7 linked regions of the Rattus norvegicus genome follow. The protein of the gene in region 1 purifies or fractionates together with the protein of each later gene. This does not show direct contact. Links are inferred from orthologs where the notes say so. Each region holds a gene or a part of one and is shown in the gene's direction. Other genes may lie near its edges. The genes, in order: Ezh2, Smarca1, Numa1, Fam120a, Pabpc4, Trip12 and Macroh2a1.

The links.
Region 2: the proteins of Ezh2 (region 1) and Smarca1 purify together in Homo sapiens (affinity purification with mass spectrometry, with the first as the bait; 3 studies listed by BioGRID). This does not show direct contact. The link is inferred for Rattus norvegicus from reciprocal best matches to the Homo sapiens genes EZH2 and SMARCA1.
Region 3: the proteins of Ezh2 (region 1) and Numa1 purify together in Homo sapiens (affinity purification with mass spectrometry; 3 studies listed by BioGRID and IntAct, with this or other methods). This does not show direct contact. The link is inferred for Rattus norvegicus from reciprocal best matches to the Homo sapiens genes EZH2 and NUMA1.
Region 4: the proteins of Ezh2 (region 1) and Fam120a purify together in Homo sapiens (affinity purification with mass spectrometry, with the first as the bait; 3 studies listed by BioGRID). This does not show direct contact. The link is inferred for Rattus norvegicus from reciprocal best matches to the Homo sapiens genes EZH2 and FAM120A.
Region 5: the proteins of Ezh2 (region 1) and Pabpc4 purify together in Homo sapiens (affinity purification with mass spectrometry, with the first as the bait; 3 studies listed by BioGRID). This does not show direct contact. The link is inferred for Rattus norvegicus from reciprocal best matches to the Homo sapiens genes EZH2 and PABPC4.
Region 6: the proteins of Ezh2 (region 1) and Trip12 purify together in Homo sapiens (affinity purification with mass spectrometry; 3 studies listed by BioGRID, with this or other methods). This does not show direct contact. The link is inferred for Rattus norvegicus from reciprocal best matches to the Homo sapiens genes EZH2 and TRIP12.
Region 7: the proteins of Ezh2 (region 1) and Macroh2a1 purify together in Homo sapiens (affinity purification with mass spectrometry; 3 studies listed by BioGRID and IntAct, with this or other methods). This does not show direct contact. The link is inferred for Rattus norvegicus from reciprocal best matches to the Homo sapiens genes EZH2 and MACROH2A1.

Annotation. Positions count from the first base shown.
Region 1 is NC_086022.1:77,642,184-77,645,683, reverse strand, and holds part of Ezh2 (histone-lysine N-methyltransferase EZH2), read left to right. Parts: intron 1-523; coding exon 524-664; intron 665-2,417; coding exon 2,418-2,520; intron 2,521-3,020; coding exon 3,021-3,184; coding exon of another isoform or gene 3,185-3,199; intron 3,200-3,500. UniProt on the Homo sapiens protein: Polycomb group (PcG) protein. Catalytic subunit of the PRC2/EED-EZH2 complex, which methylates 'Lys-9' (H3K9me) and 'Lys-27' (H3K27me) of histone H3, leading to transcriptional repression of the affected target gene.
Region 2 is NC_086039.1:131,934,283-131,937,782, reverse strand, and holds part of Smarca1 (probable global transcription activator SNF2L1), read left to right. Parts: intron 1-1,996; coding exon 1,997-2,163; intron 2,164-2,475; coding exon 2,476-2,576; intron 2,577-2,681; coding exon 2,682-2,782; intron 2,783-3,500.
Region 3 is NC_086019.1:165,776,252-165,779,751, forward strand, and holds part of Numa1 (nuclear mitotic apparatus protein 1), read left to right. Parts: intron 1-592; coding exon 593-661; intron 662-2,123; coding exon 2,124-2,243; intron 2,244-2,331; coding exon 2,332-2,550; intron 2,551-2,631; coding exon of another isoform or gene 2,632-2,655; coding exon 2,656-2,813; intron 2,814-3,500. UniProt on the Homo sapiens protein: Microtubule (MT)-binding protein that plays a role in the formation and maintenance of the spindle poles and the alignement and the segregation of chromosomes during mitotic cell division.
Region 4 is NC_086035.1:15,935,611-15,939,110, forward strand, and holds part of Fam120a (constitutive coactivator of PPAR-gamma-like protein 1), read left to right. Parts: intron 1-2,287; coding exon 2,288-2,385; intron 2,386-2,573; coding exon 2,574-2,857; intron 2,858-3,500. UniProt on the Homo sapiens protein: Component of the oxidative stress-induced survival signaling. May regulate the activation of SRC family protein kinases. May act as a scaffolding protein enabling SRC family protein kinases to phosphorylate and activate PI3-kinase.
Region 5 is NC_086023.1:140,861,691-140,864,589, forward strand, and holds the end of Pabpc4 (polyadenylate-binding protein 4), read left to right. Parts: intron 1-927; coding exon 928-1,021; intron 1,022-1,106; coding exon 1,107-1,237; intron 1,238-1,507; coding exon 1,508-1,597; 3' UTR 1,598-1,604; intron 1,605-2,098; coding exon of another isoform or gene 2,099-2,116; 3' UTR 2,117-2,399; downstream 2,400-2,899.
Region 6 is NC_086027.1:93,487,340-93,491,293, reverse strand, and holds the start of Trip12 (E3 ubiquitin-protein ligase TRIP12), read left to right. Parts: upstream 1-1,154; 5' UTR 1,155-1,284; intron 1,285-1,459; exon of another isoform or gene 1,460-1,582; intron 1,583-1,714; exon of another isoform or gene 1,715-1,871; intron 1,872-1,932; exon of another isoform or gene 1,933-2,076; intron 2,077-3,954. UniProt on the Homo sapiens protein: E3 ubiquitin-protein ligase involved in ubiquitin fusion degradation (UFD) pathway and regulation of DNA repair.
Region 7 is NC_086035.1:8,483,297-8,487,349, forward strand, and holds the start of Macroh2a1 (core histone macro-H2A.1), read left to right. Parts: upstream 1-1,253; 5' UTR 1,254-1,425; intron 1,426-4,053. UniProt on the Homo sapiens protein: Variant histone H2A which replaces conventional H2A in a subset of nucleosomes where it represses transcription. Nucleosomes wrap and compact DNA into chromatin, limiting DNA accessibility to the cellular machineries which require DNA as a template.

The DNA of each region.
Region 1 (3,500 bases):
CCTCCCTGTTCAACAATGCCCTTCCTCAGGGCAGCCAGAGCCTGTGAAATTAAGTTATCAGAATCTTGGATTCAGGTTTCTGTGTACAGGAGGCTCTTTTGATATCTGAGCAAAGGGAGCTGTGGTCATATTATAGTGGAAAACAGGTTTGAAGTGGTCAGTCAGTGACACAGATTGGGAGGAGGTTAAAGCCACAGGTCCTCAATGATTAAGGGAGTAATGTGCCCTGGACCAGCTGGAGAGGGGTGATTTCTGAGAAAGCAACGGATACTGAAGGAAAATGCTGTTTTCTTTGCTGGCTGTGAAATTGATTTTGACTGTCCTTACCTGCCCCTCCGGTTACAGTGCTGATAGGCCTTCGCTATTCTTCCAGATTAGAAAATGCATACAAAAAAAAAAAAAAAAAAAAAAAAAAAGAAAGAAAGAAAGAAAGAGAAAGAAAGAGAGAAAGAAAAGAAAAAGAAAATGCATACAAAGACTTTTGTCATTATCCTTTTCCCTGTTTCTGACATTTGGATTTTAGAATGTGGATTTATAAATGATGAAATTTTTGTGGAGTTGGTAAATGCTCTTGGTCAATATAATGATGATGACGATGATGATGATGGAGACGATCCTGATGAAAGAGAAGAAAAACAGAAAGATCTAGACGATAGTCGAGATGGTATGTTTAATACTAGTTTTTTGTTTGAGCCTTATATAATTCTTCTTTTAAAATAAAAGTACCAGGCTGGTAAGATCAGGTCGGTAAAGGTGCTTGGTGAATCGAGATTCCTGGAACCCACTCTGTGGAAGAGAAGAACTGACTCTCCTAAGTTGCCCCTGATCTTCACACCAGTACACTGTGGCAGACATACAACCATATGATATATGTAAATAAATGTAAAAACCACCCATTTTGGGGTAGAATGTAACTCTCCCCTTTTTGTTAAGTGTTCTATCTTAGCAGTATGATCAAATGTATTCTCTGCAGCATTTCATTCTCTATAGAGCTTCTTCGTTTCCTGTGCCTAGCAAAAGGACATGTGTTTTTGGACTTTGCTGATCAGTTATCATAATTATCTTTATAATAATAATAATGATTTATGGCATATTAACAGCTTTATTATATATTAGAAATGGCTTTAGAGAAGCTGAAGACTATGGGACTTAGTTAAGATTGCAATATTGGGAAAAAGTTGAATCTGAGCCCCAAATTGATAACATAAGTCTGACTCGAGAATTGTGCTATTGCCTCTACACTTGTTAAGTGTTCCTAGAAAACAGTCTACCCCAAAGTAGAGCCCATAATTCTGTCTTCTACTTAGCAAGCTTACTATCAAGCAGAATTAGGAGAAAATTGCAATTTCAAAAGACATGTATTCTTTATAACAGAAACACACCGGAGTCAGTAAGTGATTGCTAAGTTCTTCCATGTGATGGACAGTTCTGAAGGTGGATTAATGATCAGCTCTGACAGAAAACTATTAGTGTCAAATAATCAAAATTTGGGGGAATCTGTCTTCTTGTACTCTTAGCATCTTGACAAGCTTTTCCATAAGAAATAACTGATAGAGGGTTTGGTGATGCCTGTAATCTCAGCACCTGTAATCTGAGCGAAGGCAGGAGAGTCTGAAGTTCAAGGTTATCCCTGGCTTTGTAATGAGTTTTATGCTATCTTGGGCTAAACTAGGCAAACCTGTCTTACAAAATAGGACAAAACCCCCAAGCCAGTGATAGTGAGTCATCCTTGTCATTCTCGAACTTGGGAGTCAGAGACAATAGAATAGAAAAGTTGGCTATCGAGGTGAATCAGTGGGTAAGAGTGCTTGCTGAGCAAGTCTTTTTCTTTCTTTAAGAATTATTTATTTATTTTATGTATGTGAGTACACTGTAGCAGTCTTCAAACACATCAAAAGAGGGCATCAGTTCCCATTACAGATGGTTGTGAGCCACCATGTGGTTGCTGGGAGTTGAACTCGGGACCTCTAGAAAAGCAGTCAGTGCTTTTAATCTCTGAGCCATCTCTCCAGCCCCCAAGCAAGTCTTGATGACCTGATTTGAATTTCTTAATTTCACCATAGGAGAGCACTGACCCACAAAAGTTCTTCCCTGACCCTCACATGTGCACAATGGTGTGCACACCCATGTGTCTTCACTCAGGGAGGTGCACATAAGCATACATACATGCACACCTTAAAAAATAATAAAGTAATTATTAAAGCTTCGAAGTCAACCTGGTCTACTTAGTTGCAGGCCAACTAAGGAAGGCTACACAGTAAGAGATCTTGTCTTACTCCCTCCTCTCCAACCTCCACAAAAGTGAACCAAAGTTGACAAGTTGTTAGAACATCAGCTTTGTTGAGACACAGTGATAGAGAGAAAATGAAGCTGAAACTTGTTTCTTCCATCTCCCCCTATCACAATTCACTGTTTAGATAAAGAAACTTGCCCACCTCGGAAATTTCCTGCTGATAAAATATTTGAAGCCATTTCCTCAATGTTTCCAGATAAGGGCACAGCAGAAGAACTGAAAGAAAAGTGAGTAGGAATTTTTCTTTTTTTTTAATTTGGGGCAGTTGTGCATGTTATCATCTCTTGATTTATTATTTCAAGCATTCTCTCTCTCTGTCTCTCACACACATACACACACACACACACATACTTTACTGTGTATTAGAAAATTTTTAGTTCATATTGAGTACATATATGAGTATTCATGCATATTCTATGCCTATGTACAGTTTATACTAATATATTGAGGAAACCTTTTCTGGACGCTGGTAGAGATTTATAGTTAATCCAAACTAATGTAATAACCTCTTCTGCTACATACCTCAGTTGTATTAATGAGCTTGATTCTTATTTCCCATGCATAATACACGATTGGTTCTTAATGCAAGTAAAGATTACTGTAGGTTAGATTTTTTTTGTGGTTGACTTTTAGATAATATAAACTTAAAAAAAAAATCAAACCCATGAAAACCTTTTAGAAACTCACTGTGCAAAAAAGTGATGTTTGTTTGTTTGTCTGGTGTCAGGTATAAAGAACTCACGGAGCAGCAGCTCCCCGGTGCTCTACCTCCTGAATGTACCCCAAACATCGATGGACCAAATGCCAAATCTGTTCAGAGGGAGCAAAGTTTACATTCATTTCATACGCTCTTTTGTCGACGATGTTTTAAGTATGACTGCTTCCTACATCGTAAGTGCAATTATTGTACGTTTTCATTTTCTATCTTTGTTGTTGAAATATGTAGTAAAGCAACTTGATGTCAGTTGTCACAACCAAAATATACCGACCAGTCTTATAGTGAAGGCTGAGAAATATGTCACACCCCGTACTGTGACTGTTTTCTTCTTTGAGGATTCCTCTGACATCTTTTGTACTCATTTCATTCCATTCACTGCTTCCCAGTAACTTGAAGTGAAGGTCTTCACACTTGACAAGGCTGTTTTATAATGAATGATTGTAGTGAGGCAGTTCTCAGCTCAGAGCAATATTACTGCCATTTATGAAC
Region 2 (3,500 bases), on another chromosome or scaffold:
TTTGTTTTGTTTTTTGTTTTTGTTTTTTGTTTTTGTTTTGTTTTCGGAGCTGGGGACCAAACCCAGGGCCTTGCGCTTGCTAGGCAAGCGCTCTACCACTGAGCCAAATCCCCAACCCTGGATGTACTTTTCTAAGTCTTGTATCTATGCTAATGAATTCTCCTATAAGTTTCTGTGTTATTAATTTTTTTTACCAGTAATCAAGTATTCTCTGCTGAGTGATCGGAGAGTGGCTAGAAATAAAATCTTTATCTCTTCCTTTATTTAGGATGAAGTAAACTCTTGATCTTTTAAGGTTTTGTTGTGAACCAGCTTATTTTTATTTTTCTATTTATCTACTATAAAAAGTTTTTTTTACTATATTCTGATTATGTTTTCCCTCCCTCTAACACCTCAGATTCTCCCTACCTCTCCTCCCATCGAAATCCATGCCTTTTCTTTCTTTTATTAAGAAACAAATATGAATCTAAAAATAAAAATAAAATAAAACAACTCAAGTTATTTTGATAATGTATTGAAATTTTAGACTACACAAACAACAGCGTTATGTATGGAAATACTTAATATATACGAACTACTTCACATATATGTGTACCTATATTTTTCTCTAAGTTCTATTCTCTTGTGGAGAAACATTACATACTAGTAGCATAAAGTATAAATTTCCAGAATGACATAATTCAAAGAAAAATGTCATTACATTATTGTACCATGATATTGAAAATATCTTTAAGAGCAGCTGATGTTCTATGCCTAGATTTCAGTTATTTCTTTTTTTTTTCTTTTTTTCGGAGCTGGGGACCGAACCCAGGGTCTTGCGCTTGCTAGGCAAGCGTTCTACCACTGAGCTAAATCCCCAACCCCTCAGTTATTTCTAAATGCAGCTTGGTAATTCTCAAACTTTATAGTATGTATGTATTATAATTTATGTGTATTTTATTCATTTATTTATGATAATTTATGTGTATTTTATTCATTTGTTTATGATTTTTTTGGAGATAAGTTCTCTCTTTGAAGTCCTGGCCATACTGAAACTTGCTCTGTGGACCGGGCTGGTTTTGAGCTTGCAGAGATTGTCCTGCCTCTGTCCTCCAAATGCTAGGATTAAAGTTGTGTGCCACCCTGCATGGCTCCAATATGTATGTGTTTCTATGTTTAGTACATACATAATTGATGCAATTTAGGTTTATTTATTTACTTTATGTATGTGACTACACTGTCACTGTCCTCAGACACACCAGAAGAGGACATCAGATCCCATTACAGATGGTTGTGAGCCACCATGTGGTTGCTGGGAATTGAACTCAGGACCTCTGGAAGAGCAGTCACTGCTCTTAACCACTGAGTCATCTCTCCAGCCTGGCAATTATTTTTTTTCCATGTGGAGAGGTTTAATGAGAGAAGAAGAGAGAAGAGGAAAGGAGGCTGGCCATGGGCATATGGGGGGGGGGGAAGGGAGTATGGGGAAAAAAGAGACAAGGAAGGGCAGAGAAGAACAAAGAGAACAAGTCGCAATTATTTTTAATTAAAGAAAAAGAGGATCATGTTTAGAAAGAGGATTCGTTTTCTAATTTTGACTTTCTGATTGTTTTGTAATATTGGGCACTGGGAATTGAACTCTGGGTCTTGGCAGTACTCTACCGCTCCCCTGTGCTTCCAATCCTAAGGGTATACTTCTTTTGGGAGCATTTATTAAATCTGTCAGGTCATTTTATTTCTATTCAAACTACTTGAAATAGCATTGTGAAGTTTGGTTACTTACAATCTGGGGAAGCATGGGAGCATTCCTTGCCCATTCTGTGCTTCCATTTTATCATCTGTAAAATGGGTATGACCTTAGTGGCCATCTTATGGATTTCAAAGGGAATTTGGTAGATTAATATGTTAAAAGCATCGAGATTATTGCATAACTGAAGCAGAATATAAATGTTTGATAAATAACTTTGAATGAACACAAAAAGAAAATCTTTATTTTTCCCTCTCGTTTGTAAATTAGAAAGCAGACAGAGCGAAGAGATTTGAGTTTTTGCTGAAGCAGACGGAACTTTTTGCACATTTCATTCAACCTTCAGCACAGAAGTCTCCAACATCTCCTCTTAACATGAAACTGGCTCGTCCTCGAGTAAAGAAAGATGACAAGCAGAGCTTGATTTCTGTGGGAGAGTATGTAGTCTTTCTACGTTCTTCCTTTTCCCTTTTCCCTCCCCCTTTCATTTCATTTGCTCAGGATAACTTTCTGTGAATAATATGATTATTGGCAATGCAAATGTGTTTTGGAAACACCAATCTTTGTCTTTTTTTCTCACCAGAACATAATTAGTTAAAAAAAACCCCAAAACTTAGACTGCTCTACCACATTCTATGCCAGACACTAGATAACACATTCCTTTTTTAATAAAAGACATTTGCAAATCTAGCTTGGTGTCTCCGCACTGGCCTGAATGTGAAAGTTTTTCTTTTTGTCTTTTCACCTAGCTATCGCCACAGGCGCACAGAACAAGAGGAAGATGAGGAGCTTCTGTCAGAGAGTAGGAAAACATCGAATGTGTGTGTTAGATTTGAGGTCTCACCTTCTTGTGAGTACTTTATCACACTCATGGTCACTTTTGCAGTTCAGTAGAAAACCCAATTTCCTTGAGTATACTAGTAAAAGTCTGAGAGGTTCTTCATTTCTGTTTTAGATGTGAAGGGAGGACCCCTGAGAGATTATCAGATTCGAGGACTAAACTGGTTGATCTCTTTGTATGAAAATGGAGTCAATGGTATTTTAGCTGATGAAATGGTAAGGCACTGGTATTCAAAGAATGTTCTGATTTACTACAAGTTTTTAATGTAAATTTGAACTACCTGTGTTGAGCTTTCCTTAAGCCCTATGCCCAAAAGCTTTATTTAGTGGCAAAATAATCTACTTTTTAGATTTCTTTCTTTTACTTTATGTGTGTGAGTGGCTTGCCTGCCTATATGAATACCATGTGTTTGCAGCACCCGGGGAGGAGAGGGCATAGGATCCCCGGAACTGGAGTTACGGCTGATTGCAGGCCACCACATGAGTGCGAGTAATGGAACCCAGGTTCTCTGTCAGAGCAAAAGGTGCTCTCGACATCTGAAGTATGTCTCCAGCCTGCAAAAGAATGTTTGTTGTCTATAACTGTTCAAATAACTTGTAGAATAGAACCTTTTGCATTGCTCAAAGATCATATGGAGGTTTCCTGAAGTGGTACGACACCTCTTCTTTTGCTCTTGTTTCTGTTTGAACTTTGGCTTCCAAGAAGCCCAAAGAAAAGTGCAATGCCAAAAGGCAGCATCTCTTCATCCTTTAAGGTCTGCCCCTGATGGTTTCCTTTTCTTTTCTTTTTTCTTTTCTTATGCTTTATCTTCTAGTCTAATTTTCCTTGATAACTTTTCATTTCTGTTTTACCATTAACTTATGTTCCATGTTTTTTATAACGAGCAATCTGGCATCTTCTTGGGAATGAGGTAGGATATAGAAACAAAACAAT
Region 3 (3,500 bases), on another chromosome or scaffold:
AGAATCTCTCCTCCATGGGCCTGAATCAGTGAACTCAGTTTGATCTGTTGTAATGTTCTTTCCACCATAACCCCACACCCTTACAACTTACCCCACACAGGTGTCCCACACAGAATACTTGAATGAATTAGCAAAGTTATTTAGCTCCTTGGTTTTAGGTTTGGCTATAAATTATTGGTGGGCCCTGAGAAACAGCGGTGTTCGTTGTCTTGCCAGACCAAACTACAGGATCACATTCCTTAATAAATGCCCTTACTTTAACTGTTGACACCTTCTAGGACTTGAATTTTGGTTTTGATTCTCCCAAGGCACACTTAGAAATCTTTAGACTGGTTATGCATATCCAGAACAAGAAAGTGAGGCAAGCAGGCAAAGAGCAAAAACTTCCTTTTATGTCCTTTTATGTGAGCTGCCACCAGGTGTGGCCCAGACTTAAGGTGCGTTTTCCCGCCTCAAATGATCCAATTGAGAAAAATCCCTCATAGCTGTGCCCAGTTGCTTGGGTTTTAGCTGTTTGCAGATGTGGTCTAGTTGAAAACCAAGAAAGCCATTCCACCCTCATCTTCTTGTTTGTTCTTTTTCTGCTCCTCAGGTGGAAGAACTGAATAAGAAGCTGACAGAGAGTGAACAAGCCAGCAGGGTGCAGCAGCAGAAGCTGAAGGTGGGGCAGCCGTGGGACAGGCCTGTCCTCTGCCTCAGAGCGCCAGGGTGGAGGGACAGCTTCTCTAAGCCCTTGGGCAGTACCAGGCCAGAGCAGGTGCTCCCTGGGGGCCTGGTTGCCCAGGAACCTGTCCTGGGCCTCAGAAACCTTGGCTTTGTCTTCAGGGATCTCTCACCGAAAGGCCTTCTCTCTGTTACAGCCAACTATGCTTTTCAGTTAAAAATATCAAGGCATAGGTCTGGTTGAGTGGTAGAGCACTGCTTGGTGCACAGAAGACCTAGGCTCAGCTCCAGCACCTCAGAACAGGTTACTTTGTTTGTTCTTGATTTACCCTAGCCACTTTCCCAGTCAGTAGGGCAATTGCTAATGACTGCAAGACAGAATAGGACAAGTTCCTCCATCCCAGAAAGTTCTGTGGGAAAGCCCTGCTGTAAGTAGTTGGGGTTCAAGAGTTGAGAGTTTCAACAATTCTCAATCTTAGAATGCATATCCCTGCCCTCCTTGGGATGGGAGACCCCATCCCATTATGCCACCCAGAGTCCTGAGATTACTTGGCATTTGCCATAATGACCAGTGCAGTTAACACTTAATGCTCCCAATTCTGTTACCTTCTTCGTTCCAGTGTTTGCTTTCAGCAGCTCTAAGCTTCCCATCCCTTAGTTAAGGGCAAAGGATTGGGCACCAGTTCCACAGGGACTTGTGTAGCACATAGTGGATCCCAGGTAGAGGAACTCTGGGATTCAGTTTCCTTCTCAGCGTCCTTGTCCGTGGTCTGTGGTGAACAGTAAGCAGGTTTGTCATGTCCCTTTTTAGGGTTGTTATGAGCTAGCAGATGGAGGAGTTTTGTAGTCCCACCCAGTACCTGTGGTAAACCAAGCTGACACTGCAGATACGGGGACCAGCTGCTGCTCCTCATGAGGAGTTAGGGTTCCCTTAGGAGACAGTGGTGGCATCGTAAAGGAGTCAACCCCCAGTTTTGGAGTAGGTGGATGAAGTTCAAGGTTTACTGTACTGTCAGTTTGCCTAAATCCCTGGTCTCTTCTCTTCTGTAAAACAAGGATAAAAGTTGTTTCTTGGAGAAGTGAGTTCCTGTCATTGGCATGCACATGCACATGCAGCTGTCTCAGCTCTAGACCAGGGCACTCTCAGAAGATCCCTTTCTGTTCCCTTGAGAGAGAATGTCCTTGTACAGGGGTGAGATTCCTGGTGCTCGGCCTCAGATGGCGGCAGGACTGTGAGAAGCGTTAGAGCCAGCAGATGGTCAGCACACGCCGGACGGTCTGGGAGGGAGAATGGAATTGGTTGTAGGCTGCGGTTGGGGGTGTGTGCATTGGACTGAGGCGTCCCTAGATGTCCTGAGAATCTATTCAGAAGACTGGGAAGGACCTGTGGAAACTGAGCAGCAGAAGCAGGCCAGTGGGTTTGGGTAATCAGAGTTCCCTTGTTTTGATTGATTTCTCAGGCTTTCCAGGCCCAGGGAGGTGAAAGCCAGCAGGAGGTCCAGTGCCTCCAGACGCAGCTGAGTGAGCTGCAAGCCCAGCTGAGCCAGAAGGAGCAGGCAGCTGAGCACTACAAGCTACAGGTGCGGGGCCAGGAGCCAGCCTGCTCTGCCCTTCTTCCTGACCATTTCTAGGCTCTGCCACACACACACACCCTGTCTGTCCACACAGATGGAGAAAGCCAAGACCCATTACGATGCCAAGAAGCAGCAGAACCAAGAGCTGCGGGAACAGCTTCAAGACCTGGAGCAGCTGCAGAAGGACAACAAGGAGCTGCGGTCTGAGACTGAACGTCTGGGCCGTGAGCTGCAGCAGGCAGGGCTGAAGACCAAGGAAGCTGAACAGGCTTGCCGGCACCTCACAGCCCAGGTGCGCAGCCTGGAGGCCCAGGTGAGCATCTGTTTCAACAGCAGCCCCTCACCCTGATCTGTTGTACTACGTGCCTCCTCTCCAAGGCCACCCCTACTCTAGGCTTCTTTTTATTTTACTTCTAAGGTTGCCCACGCAGACCAGCAGCTTCGAGACCTGGGCAAATTCCAGGTGGCAACTGATGCCTTAAAGAGCCGTGAGCCTCAAGTGAAACCCCAGCTGGACCTAAGTATTGACAGCCTGGATCTGAGCTTGGAGGAGGGAACCCCGTGCAGTGTCGCTAGGTCAGGAGACATGCCTCTCTGTCCTGGGCCTGTTCATTGAGTGTGCGCTGTTCTAGCCCGTGGGTCTTCTGTGATGACAGATGCCTGCGTAGGGCACAGGAGAAGTGAAAAGGAGGTGGAACAGTTAGGAAAGCCTTGGAAGGAAGCTCTGCTGAGTTTTGATAAACTCTACAAGAGTGTGCAGAGGCGGGTGAAGGAGCAGCCTGTAGTGTGAGGCCAAGTAGGTCTGGCAGCCAAAGGCTGATGGACTTCAGAAGTGCTCACACTGAGGACTACAGGTTGGATTTGCATCCTAGTTTCCTGACAGTATTGAAGGCAAGGTTCGCAGTACAGTTACTGTTTCTATCAAACAGCGTGTTCTGCACTGTGGGCCAGTGTTCTGAGTTCTTGGAGCAGTTACAACTTCATTTTCCCCCTAGCCACCATGTTGGGCTCTATTCATTATACCTCCTTAAACAGAACTGGGCTTTAGAGGGATCCACAGTGATAGAGCCAGGTTTGAACCTGGCAGCCTGTCCTGAGTTCTTGTCACTACTGTGCAGTGTGTCTCATGGCAGTCTGTCTCTAGGTGAGATGAGCTGAGGGGAGGGAGTGCACATGGGGAGTGTGCAGCTAGTAGAGTTCTCAGAATGTTGACTGCAATTGTGTGTGGTAAAAGAGGTCAAATTACACCCATGCTCATGACCT
Region 4 (3,500 bases), on another chromosome or scaffold:
CAGGGCAGGATGGGAGGGAGGGCTTTGCTGTGATGTTTACAGTTAGTTGGAAGTGCTTTTAGTTTAATACCATTTCTTTAAACAGGAATCTTAATTTAATATAGAGCAAAGGCTAGGCAACTCTACGAGGGTTGTGAGTCACTGGGGTGCGTCATAGAACTGTGCTTTGGGGTCTTGGGGGAGAAAAGTCAGGGAATGCAGCTCAAAGGCACCTGTATTTGTTGCTTTTCTGTGCGTTCCTGAAGAAGTCTGTAATGCTTAGCACTTTTTTTTTTTTTTTTTTTTTTTGGTTCTTTTTTTCGGAGCTGGGGACCGAACCCAGGGCCTTGCGGTTGCTAGGCAAGCGCTCTACCACTGAGCTAAATCCCCAGCCCCAGCACTTTTTTTTTAAGCTATAAAAATACTTTATTAATTGAGCATTCTTCTTGCATTCTTTTTCTCTGTTCTTCCCACTTTGCTAATAAAGGCTGCTCTAGTATGTGTTGGTAAAAAGGACATAGGAGAGTGGCAGTGTTGCCTCTACACTGGGCCCTGTGTCTCTTCTGAGACACTCTTGTGGTAGAGAAGGGGGACCGTGGTTCTTTTCAGCTACTGCACTGGTCATGGAACAGAACAACCAATTTAAAGGGAGGCCTGTGAGCTCCCACAACAGGTCCTCAGGGTCAGTCATTTCTTAGGAAGATGTAGAAGACTTCATTCAGTTACCACAGGGTTGACAGATGAGGGAACAGTAGCTTGCTCTTGGAGATACAGGAAGCCATTGACTACAATGTGCTTTTTAGAAAATGCTGTAAAAATGTTGGCTCTGGCAGGGTTGGAGCAGTGTTTCAGAGGTTAAAGAAGTGACAGGTTCCCAGCACCCCTGTCCGGCAGCTCCAGGGGATCTGCTGCTTTTCTTCTGGCCTGCAGTCATGTGACATCTGACTGTACACACAAAATAATAGAAATACAGTTTGAAGAGAGTCTTTGGTTTTTGTGTTAATCTGTTTTGTTTGTTCAAAGGAAAGTTTGTGCTTTTTAGGGAGGTTTTAGTTGTTATATTCAAAAGTAGCATGGCCCAAGTGACCATCTCCTGAAAGTGACAACTGTAACCAACACATCCAGGCCATGCTCTCATTATTCAGAAGTTAGTGGGGGTTGGGGTTCACAACTTTAATCTGAGCACTAGGAAGGCAGAGGCCTTGGAATTTGAGGCCAGTCTGGTCTACCAAGTGAGTTCCAGGACATCCAGGGCTGCTACACAGAGAAACCCTGTCTTTAAAACAAAACAAAACAAAACAAACAGAAAGTTAAATAGAAAAGGTCAGCTACCATAAATTAACCAGACTTTGTACAGTGATTCCAATGATAATGTTTGAGCACTGCTGGATTTTATAGCATATTTTGTCCCTTCTCCTAGCTGTGACTCTGAATTACCATAGAGTCTCTTTAACAGGTGTAGTGGCTCTGGCTTCACACTTGGAGGGGAGCTGGTAGGCTTGTCACTTGTGCACAGATGCATGCGTGTTTGGTGTGTCCGCACGTGTAAATGTGCCCCATGCGTGCTCGTGCCGAGTTCACTCTTCCCTGCTGTTGGACAGCAGTTTTCTTGTTCAGTACAAAGTGGGATGCTGTGCTAGACTCTCTAGTGAGTGAGAGCCAGGGTCAGAGTCCTGCTGTGGCATTTCAGAGCTAAGAGCTGCAGTCTGGAGAGGAGAATTCTAGAGAGTTGGTAGCTTGTGAGGCTCCTGGATCCTGATGGAACTGGAGAAAGTGAGCCGTGATCTGTGCTTCTCTTTCAGCCTTTTTGGGCTGCACGGTAGCTCTCAGGAAACCCTGTGTCCACCAGGTTAGGCCAGTGAGGGGGCTAGTGTTCTCATTTATAGTCCTGGTTTGACTGTAACTTGTATTGTTTAAGAATCATCCCCACAGTTTGGTCTTGGAACTTTGCTTTCAGAGAGGCAGAGTGAGGAACTCTGGGAAGGGTACGTACTTGGCTGAGGAAGAGGTGGTCATGTGTGCCTTCATTGCCCAGTGCTGTTTAGAGCAGAGGCTAGAAAAGCCCTCTGATCTTAAGAGAGCTAAGTTTCAGAGCTCTGCCTGGTTTTATTTTTCACTTTTATAACAAGATAAGGAAACTATGACCTCTGGAGCCACATGTTAAATTTGAATTTCTAAAGGTTTCTGGGAAGAGGGGCAGCTGAAGGGGGCAAGGTATATGGGCCCTGGGCTAACTCGGGGGTATCCTGGGGATATGGCATTCTCTTCATACTTGTCTTATTATTTTCTTCCTGTATTGATAAAACAGCCCGACCAAATCCATTTGGAATGCCTGGGATGGTGCCACCATATGTTCCCCCTCAGATGCTCAACATTCCACAGACTTCTCTGCAAGCAAAGCCCGCGGTAAGGTATCCTCTGAGTCAAGTTAGTCCTGTGAGCCTTGGACATGCATTGTTTTTTTAAATTCTTGTGTTGATAGAAAGGATAGATACCAGTTTGTCAGATTAGAAATGACTGAAGAGGACAAAACTAATTCAGCCTTGCCTCAGGCCCCACCAGCCCTATACACTGATTTGTGTTCTGCATTTCAGGTCCCACAGGTGCCCAGCCCAGGGGGCACCCCAGGCCAGGCTCCATACCCATACAGCCTCCCTGAGCCTGCCCTCGCCCTGGACTCTAGCGGGAAGAACCTGACAGAGCAGAACAGCTACAGCAACATTCCTCACGAGGGGAAGCACACACCGCTGTATGAGCGCTCCTCGCCCATCAACCTGGCCCAGAGCGGCAGCCCCAATCACGTGGATTCCGCCTACTTCCCTGGCTCGTCTACCTCGTCCTCATCAGACAACGATGAGGGCAGTGGAGGGGCAACCAAGTGAGTATTCAAGATCACAGAGTGCTCTGGTGCTGCGAACTGAGGGCTTCCTTCATTCTGCAGCCCAAAGTTGTCTACCACAGGTAGGTGCTGTTTGACCTAGGTCGTGCTGTTTGACCTAGGTCTTGCTGTTTTAGCCCCAAAGCTGGAGATCCCAGGAATCTGGGCAAGTTGGAAAGTAACTTATTTATGTTGTGGCTCAAATATGAGGGTTGCTCTGCGGTGCCACCGGCCCATCAGGTACATCAACTCCCCTGACACCCTGAACCTTTGGGTTTCCTGGAGAAGAGAGCCCAAACCTTCCCTTCATCCAGACTCAGCAGCTAGTTAAAGGGACATTCTTGAAACAGCACTGTTTGCCTGGCCAGAGTGTAGAATGCTGCCTGGATTCAGATGAGACTTCTTCCTAGAGAGCATCAGAAGTCACAAATGGACAGCTGATTCAAATTGGATTGCAGAAATCTTAGTGTATCTCCCTTGTCCCCTAAGGTATTCTGTTTGGGAAAAGGGAAAGAATTAATTGTCTTTCCTGTGAGTCCAGTGTCCTTTTGCCAATTTAAGCACTGCTAATGGGACAGATAACTAGGGCAGGCTACTGCTGTGAGACTGCCCAGCAAGGCTGGTGGGCGCTGCGCTTGCCTTT
Region 5 (2,899 bases), on another chromosome or scaffold:
CTGAGGAACCAGGCCCCAGGGTTGACCTCCCCTACATCGTCAAACACATATACAGAACACCCAACAGAAAGCTTCCCAGAATATTCAGAGGTTAAGGTGCCTAAGCTGTGACCTAAAGCATAGCCACTTTCAGAACTTGGTGGCAGTTTGCTATGACTGGGCCTCACCTGCCCAGACAACTTCAGGAGTAGAAGCTGCTTTGAATTATTCTTAATAATAGTCTCCCTTCTCATCATTCTCTCCAGTGGGGGTTTCTTGGAACTTGGTGCTAATTCACCTGTAACACCTTTTTATGGTTCTAGCAACACTGTTGCATATATTAATGATCCTCAAATAATTGCTAATATATTAAAAACACCTAGACCAAGCCCCAGTCCTGTAAAAGAAAAGGTTGAATTTACCAGGGTATTATTAGCATATCCCAGAATCCAGGTGCTGGGTCAGTAGAGACAAAAGGATTAGGAGTTAAAGGTCAGCACCTACTGAGGCCAGCCTGGGTTCGGAGAGGGTACACAGAAAACCCAAACATCCTGTACCGGGGGATAATGAAGTATGGTTAGGAATGTTTTGATTCTCACTCTTTGGCTCCTGCCTCTGTATGTACTGACAATAACGTAAGGGAGGCATTGAAGAGAAGTGCATAAATACTGTGAAGTACGCACGTGTAATCCCAGCCCTTGGCCCTTGGCAGCAAGGGGATCAAGGCCAGCCAAGACTACATGAAAATCACAAATTATGTCTCCCGGGGCCTGGTTTTGACTGCAGGGCCTTGTGTTGTGAGGCAGGTTTGTTGGTCAGCATCTTCCCCTTCCAATAGCTTACAGTACACAGCTAGCCAGCTTTGTCTTTGAGCACAGGACTGCCACCTCCGCTCCCTTTCACATAGTCTTCCTTAGTGCTAACCCCACTGCCTCTCCTGGTTCACAGGCCCCCCAGCCTGCAGTCCATGTCCAGGGTCAAGAACCCCTGACTGCCTCCATGCTGGCTGCAGCTCCTCCCCAGGAGCAGAAGCAGATGCTGGGTAAGTTCCATGCTTGGGAAAATGTCAGTCAGTTGGTGCTCACTGGGATTGGACACTTTTATGATGGCAACTGTTCTGCCCACAGGGGAGCGTTTGTTCCCACTTATCCAAACAATGCATTCAAACCTGGCTGGAAAAATTACAGGGATGCTGCTAGAAATCGACAACTCTGAGCTGCTCCACATGCTGGAGTCCCCCGAGTCCCTCCGTTCCAAGGTGAGCTGCCTTTCAAGACCCTGTGACATCACGGTTTAGCTTCAGGGAATGAGCTTGGGGGCCGTCCAGAGAGAAAGGTCTGTGGCCCCCATGGCCACCCATGTCTGATTTGAGCTACTGCTAAAGTTGTTGAAGAGATAGCACCAGGAGGAGCCCGCCTGGGGGATCTTCTACTCATTGACCACGTCTGTGTGCCAGGAGAGACAAGTGGGTCACTGAGCACCTGGGGTGGCTCCCCTCAGTCTCTGAACATCTGGGCGTCTTCCACAGGTGGATGAAGCTGTGGCAGTCCTGCAGGCTCATCATGCCAAGAAAGAAGCTGCCCAGAAGGTGGGCACTGTTGCTGCTGCTACCTCTTAAACCAGAAGTATGTTGACAGTTGACATTTTCTGCCTCTCTGGTGTTTCACATAGGGCCTTACTTAGCCTATGCCCCAGGATGATTCACTCAGCCTCCAGGATGCTGGGGGGCTACGTCCATGACTATGTCTGTAATCCCAGCTGTCCACGTTGGGGAGGCAGAGCCCTAGTACCCAGCTGCTCAGTCTGAGCAACCTAGAAGCACCTGATCACATGCTTGGCCACCACATAGAAATGAATAATCTCCTGGCCTGACATAGTGGCAGTCACATCATAAGACCTACCTGCATCTATGCATATCTTATACCTTGCTAGCTTGGCCTGAGGTGGGTGAGATTGTGTCCTGCCAAGCTGGGAGAGCAGTGTGCAGAGGGATATTGGTCTTGTAGGACTGGTACCTGAGAGGTGATGGACAGTTGAAGTCAGGGCGGGATGGGGCAGCTGATGCTGATGGAGTTCTTATAGCGGGCTGCTTATTTGTGTTGGTGCTGCTCTCTTTCAGGAGTCAAAAGCCAAATAACCCCTCACGGCATTCAGCTGAGGTCTGAAGACTTCCTAGTTTGTCTGTGGACCTCTTTCAAGAACCAAGTTACAAATTCAACAGGTCATTTTGTATCAAAAGGTCAATTATGAAGCACCTAGAATTTTTCAATTATAAGAATATATTCTCTGGGTTCTGTTGTGGCCCAGATGATGGTAACTTTTTTTTCTATTATGAGTTCTGTTTTTTTTCCCCTCTCCCAGAAATTGGTTTTGATGTACCCAAGACTTAAGTTTCTCAATAAAGGAAATAAAATCTCCAAGTCTGGCTGTTTTTATGTGTTGCCAATCAGTTTTATTCTATATCTTGGGCTTTTTTGCTAGAACTACTGTTAGTATTAAATGAATTTACTTTTTCCTTTTTAGGAGGATTGGGTAAGCAAGCATGCAGTAAGTTAATGTGTCACTGGGGTGGAGCTTGCCTGGCATGTGCCAGGCCCTGAGCTCATGGCTGACACCTATGGTCCTAGCTGGAGTCAGTAGGAGCTACAGGATAGTGAGACCCAGTTTGAAGTCAGCTCAGCCCAAGCCTGAAAAAATGAGCTGAATTGAGCCATCAGAATGCTCTGCATACCATGACAGTATACTTGAATGTAGAATGCTCAGACCAGCAAAGTCTAGGCCCCTCGGGATTGCTGCAAACCCTAGGGATCCCTAGTCAAAGCCTCCACTCTCTTCCTGGAGTAAAGTTTGTCTCCTGGAGTTACCTGCTCACGTCAGCAAGTGCAACAAGGCTTCAGCTCTGGGAAAATGCTCAGAAATC
Region 6 (3,954 bases), on another chromosome or scaffold:
AGAGGCTCCAACAAGGTAAGGGAAGACGTTTCAGTCAGCCATTCCTTCTAAAAAGAGGAGTTTTGGTGTGGTTATTGTAAAGGCTGGAGCGAGGTTCTTGGGGGGGAAAACAAAACGCCACAGGATTAAGTCCTACCCTGGAAGAGAGACCGTCCCTTTCTCCCCCTGCCGGCTTCTCCTTGGGACACTTAGCTGAGTCTTTCTTTCCCTCCTTCCCACGCTGAGGTGAGGCAGCACGCAAGCAGGGACGCCTGTTTTTCTTCGGCGCGCGCGGAGGGAACGCAGCGGGTAGGAAGCCGGGAGGCAGGAAGGGGAGCGGACGGCATTTGTGGGGAGGCAAGGAAGGTTCGCCAGGGACGAGCCCGCCTTGGGGAGAGAACGGACTCTCGGGCCGCCGAGCAGAGGTGACGAGGGAAGATCTCTGGCTGTGAGCTGAGAAGCGGCGCTTCCGGCAGGCCACGGTGGCTGTTTGCCTGGAGCGGCCCCCATCGGGTGGCCCTGTTGGGCGGGGAAGGGGTCAGGAGAGACAGGAAACCGTGGGTCGCACTTGCCTGAGTTCGGGTGATCAACAACTGGTAATAGTCTTTGCTCGGCGCCGGGCCTTGTCCTACAATTTCAAACAGAGTCTCCGGTAGCCACGACGCCATCTTGGGACGCCACCGCCGTCGCTAAGACAACCAGGAAGGGGCGGGGCTTGACCGGGGTCAGGGGGCCGCAGCCTCACTTTAAAGCGAAGTCCGCTTTTGAGTTGGCAGTGTGGGGGTTTTAACTTGGGGTGATGGTTTCCTTTACCAGGGCTCACAAGGAACCTTGCTTTGTGAAATTTCTACAGTCAGGTCCTGGGTGACCCGAAGTGGAATTTAGTTCCTGCTAGCGCGGAGGGGCGGGGGGTGACCCCAGCGGAGGGATACGAAGTGGAGCGCCACAGTCCCCTTCCTGGTCCCTTGAAGGGATCGGAAGGAGACTGGAGGCCGCTCGTCGACTGGAGTTGAGCGTTGCGGAGGGAGGGGCGATAGGATGGGTTGTAAATAGGTAGCGGGGCTGGTCCTGCGGAGGATCCCGCAGGCCGAAGCCTCAGGACAAAGTAGTCCCCGGCTGGAGTGGAGCGGGCGGGGAGGGAGGCGGCGCGGGCGGAGGCGCACGGCGGCGCGGTGCTGCGGCTCAGCTGATAATTGAAGGGACGACAAGCCGCCGCCGTCGCCGCCGCTGGGGGGGGTGGGGGGAGCCAGTGGAAGTTGCCGTCGCGCCACGGAGTCCGGACCAGAGACTTTGGGGCCTAACTAGGTAATTGGGACGCCGTTCCTAGCGGCGGGGTCGGGCTTTGGGGGAGGGGGCTGACGAGGACTGGGAAACCGGAGCCAAAAGTCTGAGGCAGCGTGCCCGTGTCATCGTAGCGACAGAGCTCCCGGCTCTACTCGCTGGCGGCGGCAGGGCCGTGGAAGGAGCAGCCCGAGGCTGACGGGTGAGGCGCTCGAGCGAGCCCGCGGCGGAGGAGCCGGGGCCGACTGGCTTGGGGGGGGGAGGGGGCTCTGAGTCCCTGCTCCGGCCTCCAGCGATGAGGAAGGCCCTAGGCGGAATCTGGGTAGGGCGTGCGGGTCTAGGGGAGCCCAGCGGGGGCCGGGAGGGACCGGAAATGGTCTTTGGAGCCTGGAGGGCGTCTAGGAAGAGAGAAAGTGGGGGGCCGGAAGTGCAGGTGGGGGGCGTGAAGACAGCAAGGGTTCCCCGGAAATGGGACGGGGGGCCCGGAAACAGGGAAAGGGAGGCTCTGAGCTGTGGACGGCCCGGAAATGGAAACTAGGGAGCAGCTCGAGTGACAACTGTTGTGAGGCGAGGGTCTGAGGGAGGAGAGGCGGGAGTGACTTTGGACCGCGGTAAGGGTCTTCCTGCTGGGGGGGACGGTTGGGAGCGGGCGAACCGGGCCGAGCTGGCGCGGGGCGGCTTTTCCAGGCGGGGAAGTCGAGGCTGAGGGAGGACGACGATGCGCCGAGCTGGCAGGGGCCGCGGTAGAGGCCGAGAAACTTGGCTGAGGGAAAGCAGGATCCTCTAAGAGGACTAGCAGGGGAATAGGACGGAAAGGTTAACTGGGCTTGGGTGAGGGAGGTGGGCCAATTGTCACCCCAATCCTATTAACATTCAAAGCGAGTCAGGAGATTAATATATGTGGATTACATAAAACTTACTACACTGTTTGTCCGTCAGTTCAACTCATGCCTATCGAGTGGGTTTCTTGTAGAGAAACAAGTTTACAGGGATGTTCAGAAAACGAAGGTTTTAAGACCCAGTCTTCTGTCTAGGACTTCCTTGGAATAACAGCCTTCATTAGTTAGAACGCAGAAACATTACTAGAATTAAAAAAAAAATGCAGGTGGGGGGTGGTGGCGAAATTACACCTTGTAACTATTCTAGGTGGACGTGAGGGAATTCATCCGCGGTGATAGGGAAACGAGAAGGGGCGGCTTCCCACCTCCTGCAGATTTGTTTCTGTTAACGCGTTTTAGTTTGTTTGCGAAAGGTTTTAGTTTTGGCTTCTGGGCTGCTTTTTAGCTTGCTGGCTCCGTTAATTGGGGGCGGGGATGTTACTAGGTAAACGGGGGAGTGGGGGTGGGGTGGGGGTGGGGGTGGGGGGCGGTTGATAGCGCAGTGACTCTGTTCCGAGTGGTCTAACCGCTCTCCTGTCTCCCTTCCTAGTCTGAGCTCGCGATCTGGCCTGGGTTGCCAAATCACCCGATCTCCAGGCTTTCTTCGGTTTGTAGGCCCCAGTGGTATCTTTAACTTTTTCTTGCTCTCAATCTAATTTTTGGTGTGTGTGTGTGTGTGTGTGTGTATATATATATATATATATACATATATATATATGTATATATATATATATTTATTTATTTTAAAGACTTGGCAAGTTGAGGCTTCGAATCTCATCTCTAAAAAAAACAAAACAAAAATACGTGGTAGAAAGTTGAAAGAGCTGTTACTGAGTAGGGTAAAAAACTGATGCTAGGAACAAAGGTCTTAGTTGTGTTAGAAAAAAGGCAAGGGGCCTGTATATGAGGCCTTGTATGTCACGTTTGAAGTTAATTTATGGAGGCCATTACTAGAGTCTTATTTTCTTACGCTTATGCGGTTACTTCAGTATTACATTTTAAGACTCTTTGATTTACTCGTAGTTTCATGTTTAGACCCAGAACTGGTATGTTTTTATACATTGTAGCATGATTACTAGTAGGCTTTGTATATGCCTGCTTTTCAACGAATGGACTAAGAATTGTAGAACTCTAAAGATTGTTTCCATCTGCTCCACTGTGTTTCAGTGTGAGTAGTGTTTAAGTCGGCCCAGCTGGCATTTAGTTTTTTTCTGATTAGGCTGTTTAGCTTTTCATATACTTTCTAGAAGTCTGAAAACTGTTTGCAATCCCAGAGAGTGCTATTGTAAAATTAGCAAATATTAAAAATGTATGAGAGTCTAATAGAGTAGATCAAGGTGCTTTAACTGAGGAAAGTAAATTTCTTTTTTATTTAGTAAAAGATATTTCAAAGAAGATATTTAGACGTATCCTAAAACAAATGAGTTATTTTGGTTTTGAATTCCTGAAATAAGACCAAATTAAAATAGGAAAAGAAATGATTTTCTGTTTAGTGAGAGCTTAAATCAGTGCAGACGTTCCTACCAAACTTCTGTCTAGTGCAGCACTTAACAGTTTTTAAGGGTCTGCTAGGCCAAGTTCTTTCTCTGCCTTTTGGTTTGCTTCCTTTTTTCATCAGTCCTTTCTGTCACTTTGCCTTTAGTCTTTTTCTTTGCCTCTGGTCATCCACACTGGGTACAGTCCCCACTGTTTTAGAAGAGTCCTTTGGTGTTTTTTTTTTTTTTTTTTTTGGTTCTTTTTTTCGGAGCTGGGGACTGAACCCAGGGCCTTGCGCTTCCTAGGTAAGCGCTCTACCACTGAGCTAAATCCCCAGCCC
Region 7 (4,053 bases), on another chromosome or scaffold:
GACTTATTTCATTCTATGTGTTTTGAGTATTTTGCCTGCGTGTGTGTCTGTCTGTGCACCACGAGGTACCCAGTACTCATGGATGTCAGAAGAGAGCATTGGATTCCCCGGAGTGGAGTGATGAGGATCACATGAATGCTGGGAACAGAATCCTGGTCCTCTGCGAGAGCCTGAAGTGCCATTAAACCCTGAGCCATCTCTCCAGCCTCAAGGCTACCTCTTAAACACACCCCTGCTTACCTTTCCTATTATTTCTTCCGACCCAATTTCCTCCCAGAATTTATACCCTGTAATGCATGACTCCTTTGTCTCTTGCCTTTCTTTTCCCACCACTGTAAGCTCCAGGAAAGCAGGGGGTTTTGCCTATTCTGTTTACCATTCCACAACTACACCCAGATTTCTGCACGGTGTGCAGAATGTCCTAGGTATTTCCTTGAAATAACGAATGCATGGGCGAGGGGCTTTAGACAGTGCCTTTCGTGTCTTTAAAATGCACAAGGGCTGGGGAGACGGCTCAGCTGTTAAGGTCACAAACCCCCAAAACCTGCTGCTATTCTAGTGCAGCCTGGGTCTGGAGGAGAGTCTTTGGTTTTGTGGATGGACTTTGCTGCCCTTTCTCTGGCTGACAACCCCCCACGTTAATATGTAAAAATAAGCACTGCTTAAATTCAGTAGCTCTCCACTTGGAGCCAGTAGTCATCAAACATTTGCTTGGTGGAGGAAGCTAGCCGATTCCACGAGCAAAGCAAACCCAGACTTTGAGGCCAGTTCTGAAGAATCCCACTGATCAAGGGAGTTGAGATGCAGCAGCTGATCTTGGGGCACACAGCTGCTTGAATAATGCTTGTATTTAAAGACAGGGGGCCGGCTTGAGGCGCGGAGTTTGTGCTGACTTTGGAGGAAGAGATCTCTGGTAACAGCAACTGTGCCCTCCCTCTTTGTGGACAACGCCACTGGTGATGAGGCGACACAAGACACACAGTAGGTGCTCACTGCACATGCTTGCCGAGCCGCGCTCTGAACAAGCATCTTCCTGAGGCCCGACCCCTGCAGCTCCCGCGCGCAGACCGATGTCTGGTGGGCAGAGGGCAGGCGGCAAGGCCTGGGTGCAACCGAGGCTGGCGCCGTTGGCGTCCGCGGCCCGGCGCAGGCCGGGGTCAAGGCCAGGGCGCCGAGTGGCGCGGGAGGGGTGGCCGGACGCGCGAGGCCGGGAAGGGATGTGACGAGCGGCGCGCTGTGCATTGTGGGAATCCCGGGGCCGCCGCGAGTGGTTCCAGTTCACTGGTTCCAGCGGAGCCGGGCGGAGGGCGCGAGCGCGGGACGCGCGGGCGGGAAGCGAGGAGGCGTGGGCGGGCAGGCAGGAGTGCGGAGCGGACCGGCGCAAGAGGCCGACCGGGCTCGGGCCCCTCACCGTGCAGCCGCCCGGTAAGTACCGCGCGGGCCTCGGAGCCGCAAGCTGCGGGTCCGCACGGTCCGGGCCCCCCGCGCCCTACGGCCGCCGCGCGCTGGGCTCTGCCTAGAGCCGGGGAAGCTCGGGCGGTTACCCTCGGGCCTCGGGCTGCCCGGGGTCCGCCAAGGCCCTGCCGGGGCAGCGCGCGGGTCCCGGTGGTTTTGTTCCGAAAGCAAACCCGGAAACCAACTTCTCTCGGAGACGCACCCCTGCCCCCGCCGGGGCGCTTTGTGGGAAAGGGGCTGATGGGGTCTCCCCCCTCTCTCCGGGCGGTAGAGCCAGGGGTGGCGCGGGTCCTAGGGCACCGAGGCCCGGAGGCCGAGACCGGTCCGTCCGCCCGGGCCGGAGCCGCTGTGCTCAGAGTTTACTTGCTCGTGCGCCGCTGGCCCGCGCGTGCCCTCCCGGGCACAATAAAGTGGGGCGCGAGCCACGGGCCGTTGTGAGGCCGGCTGGTGGGGCACCCGCCGCGAGGCCTGAGCAGGCGAGGCCTGGGGACCACTCGCGGACGGAATCGCAGGCCCGGGCGGGCTGGAGAGGAGCCATGGAAGCCCCGCTGCTCTCGCTCGCCTTTTGTTTGCTTTGTGCTGGGGAGGTGTTATTTTTAAGGTGACTCCGGAAGGCCGTAGGCTCCCCGCGCGCAGAGGGACAGCTGAGAAGAGAGTCTCTGGGGGTGGGGTGTGTAGAGACCGGAGGCGCGGGATGCTGCTGGCGGTGTCACCTGACAACAGGTGTGCGAGATGCTGAGCCCCGCTCCCACTCCTGCAGAGACCGCCGGTAACTCACGGCCGGGCAGAAGATTGCTTGAAAGAGTCTTAGAAGATATGTAGGGGAAAGTTGTTTTCTAGGTTTCAAAGAGTAACTTTTGAACAAGCCGCCGAGACAGACCTTGGCTCCAACAGTTACAGTCATTATGAAGTCTTTGTAAGATTTTTTAATGATCCAGTAAAACAGCTTAGAAGAATAGACAATTAGGGGGGTTCTCCTGCTCAGTTTCCCTCAGTGCTGACACCTCTGTGGTTTGAGGTTTTACTGTTAAAAGAGAGGAAGTGTTTTGTTTGTAGACTTTGCACCAGGGAGTCCCAGTTTTGAACAGTTTGTGCTGGAGTGGAAGACTCGAGTCTTAACCCCACTAAACTTCTTGTTACCTGTAGGTTAACCTTTAGGTGTACAGTCACAGTTACCATTAACACGGAAATAGACGCCTTGTACCTGCTACTGCACTTAATACAGCTTGTCCACAATTGACCAATTGAGCCAAAGTAACTCAGCACACACACACACACACACACACACACACACACACACACACACACCACCCTCTCTGACTAGATCAACCTTTTCAATTTGTGGGGTTTTTTTCCTCTTAAGGATAAGGAATCCCCCGAGACTTTAGACTTTCCCCCTTTCTCATTTTGCTATGAGCTAGGTCGTTTTCATTGGTTGACTATTCATGTTGATCCCTAGGTAAAGAAGGTATTGGGGAGAGGTGGGTGGACATTGTTTATAGCAGGTACTGATTTATGGTGAGGCAGGGAGAGCCCACACTGTCTACTGAGAACGGTCCGGAAATTCACATGTGAGAACTTCCTCACTGGCTTACTTTCTACCATGTGGACTAACTTTAGGGAGTGATACAGTTCACTCTGCCACCTTCCTCAGGATCTGGAAAGCCATTCTTCCCTCCCATGGGGACATGCTTGGAGCTGATGGTGTCCCCTAGTCGATGAAAGGTCTATTTGAAGAGAGAAACTACTAGTCTGTATGTGGTGTTCAGGATTTGCAGTAGTCTTTGGTTCCTGATGGGCTTTTCGGAGCCCATTCTAGGAACATAAAATGGGAAAGAGTGGGGGTGACTTGGACCCTTACCTGCTAATGCCCCCATCCCTGTTCTGTAGGCTTAGGAGCAGGGGCTCCTAATTGAGGACTCCAAAGAGTCCTATAACTTGCTTGCTAAGAGCAACCCTGCCTGGTTGATGCTTGCAGTCACTCGTATGTCCCAAAAATCTGTTCTGGGTTAGGAAATAGTCATGAGCAAGAAATGCCCAGGCCCTGCCCTGGAGAACTGACTGTAGGTCAGTAGAGGAAGGACAGTTGTGTTAGTGGGGTCGAGTCCTATGTGGCTTGGCGAGGTCAAGAGGCGAGTTTGTTGGGCATAGGAGGACAGGTGGGGGCAAGCGACCAAGGCCTGAGAAACCATGTGTGCCAGTTGTACAAGCTAACCAGTGAGGTGAAGCTAGAATCTAGGGTCAGACGAGGACAGGGGAAACTCCACGGAATCCCATCAGAACCACAGCTGATCTAAGAGCAGCCAGGAACACCCCAAAGTAAGAGTAAGAGAGGAGAGCAGTGGCTAGGCCATCTCTTACCCTTAGTTGGGATCCCCGTGTAGCAAATACCTGGAAGCTTCCAGATACTTGGTCTGACTGGGCTCCTTAAAGTCACATTTCCTCCTGATGGCTTTTTAAAAAAGGAGCTGTCACAGCACAAGCAGGGAGAGGAGTTAAGTGGCAGTGTTGCCCTTTTAATGCAGGACTGGTCCCTTCGTACAGCCCAGAAAGCACGGTGGTGTAGTGCGCGTATCGACCGGCGAAGTTTCAGGCCCC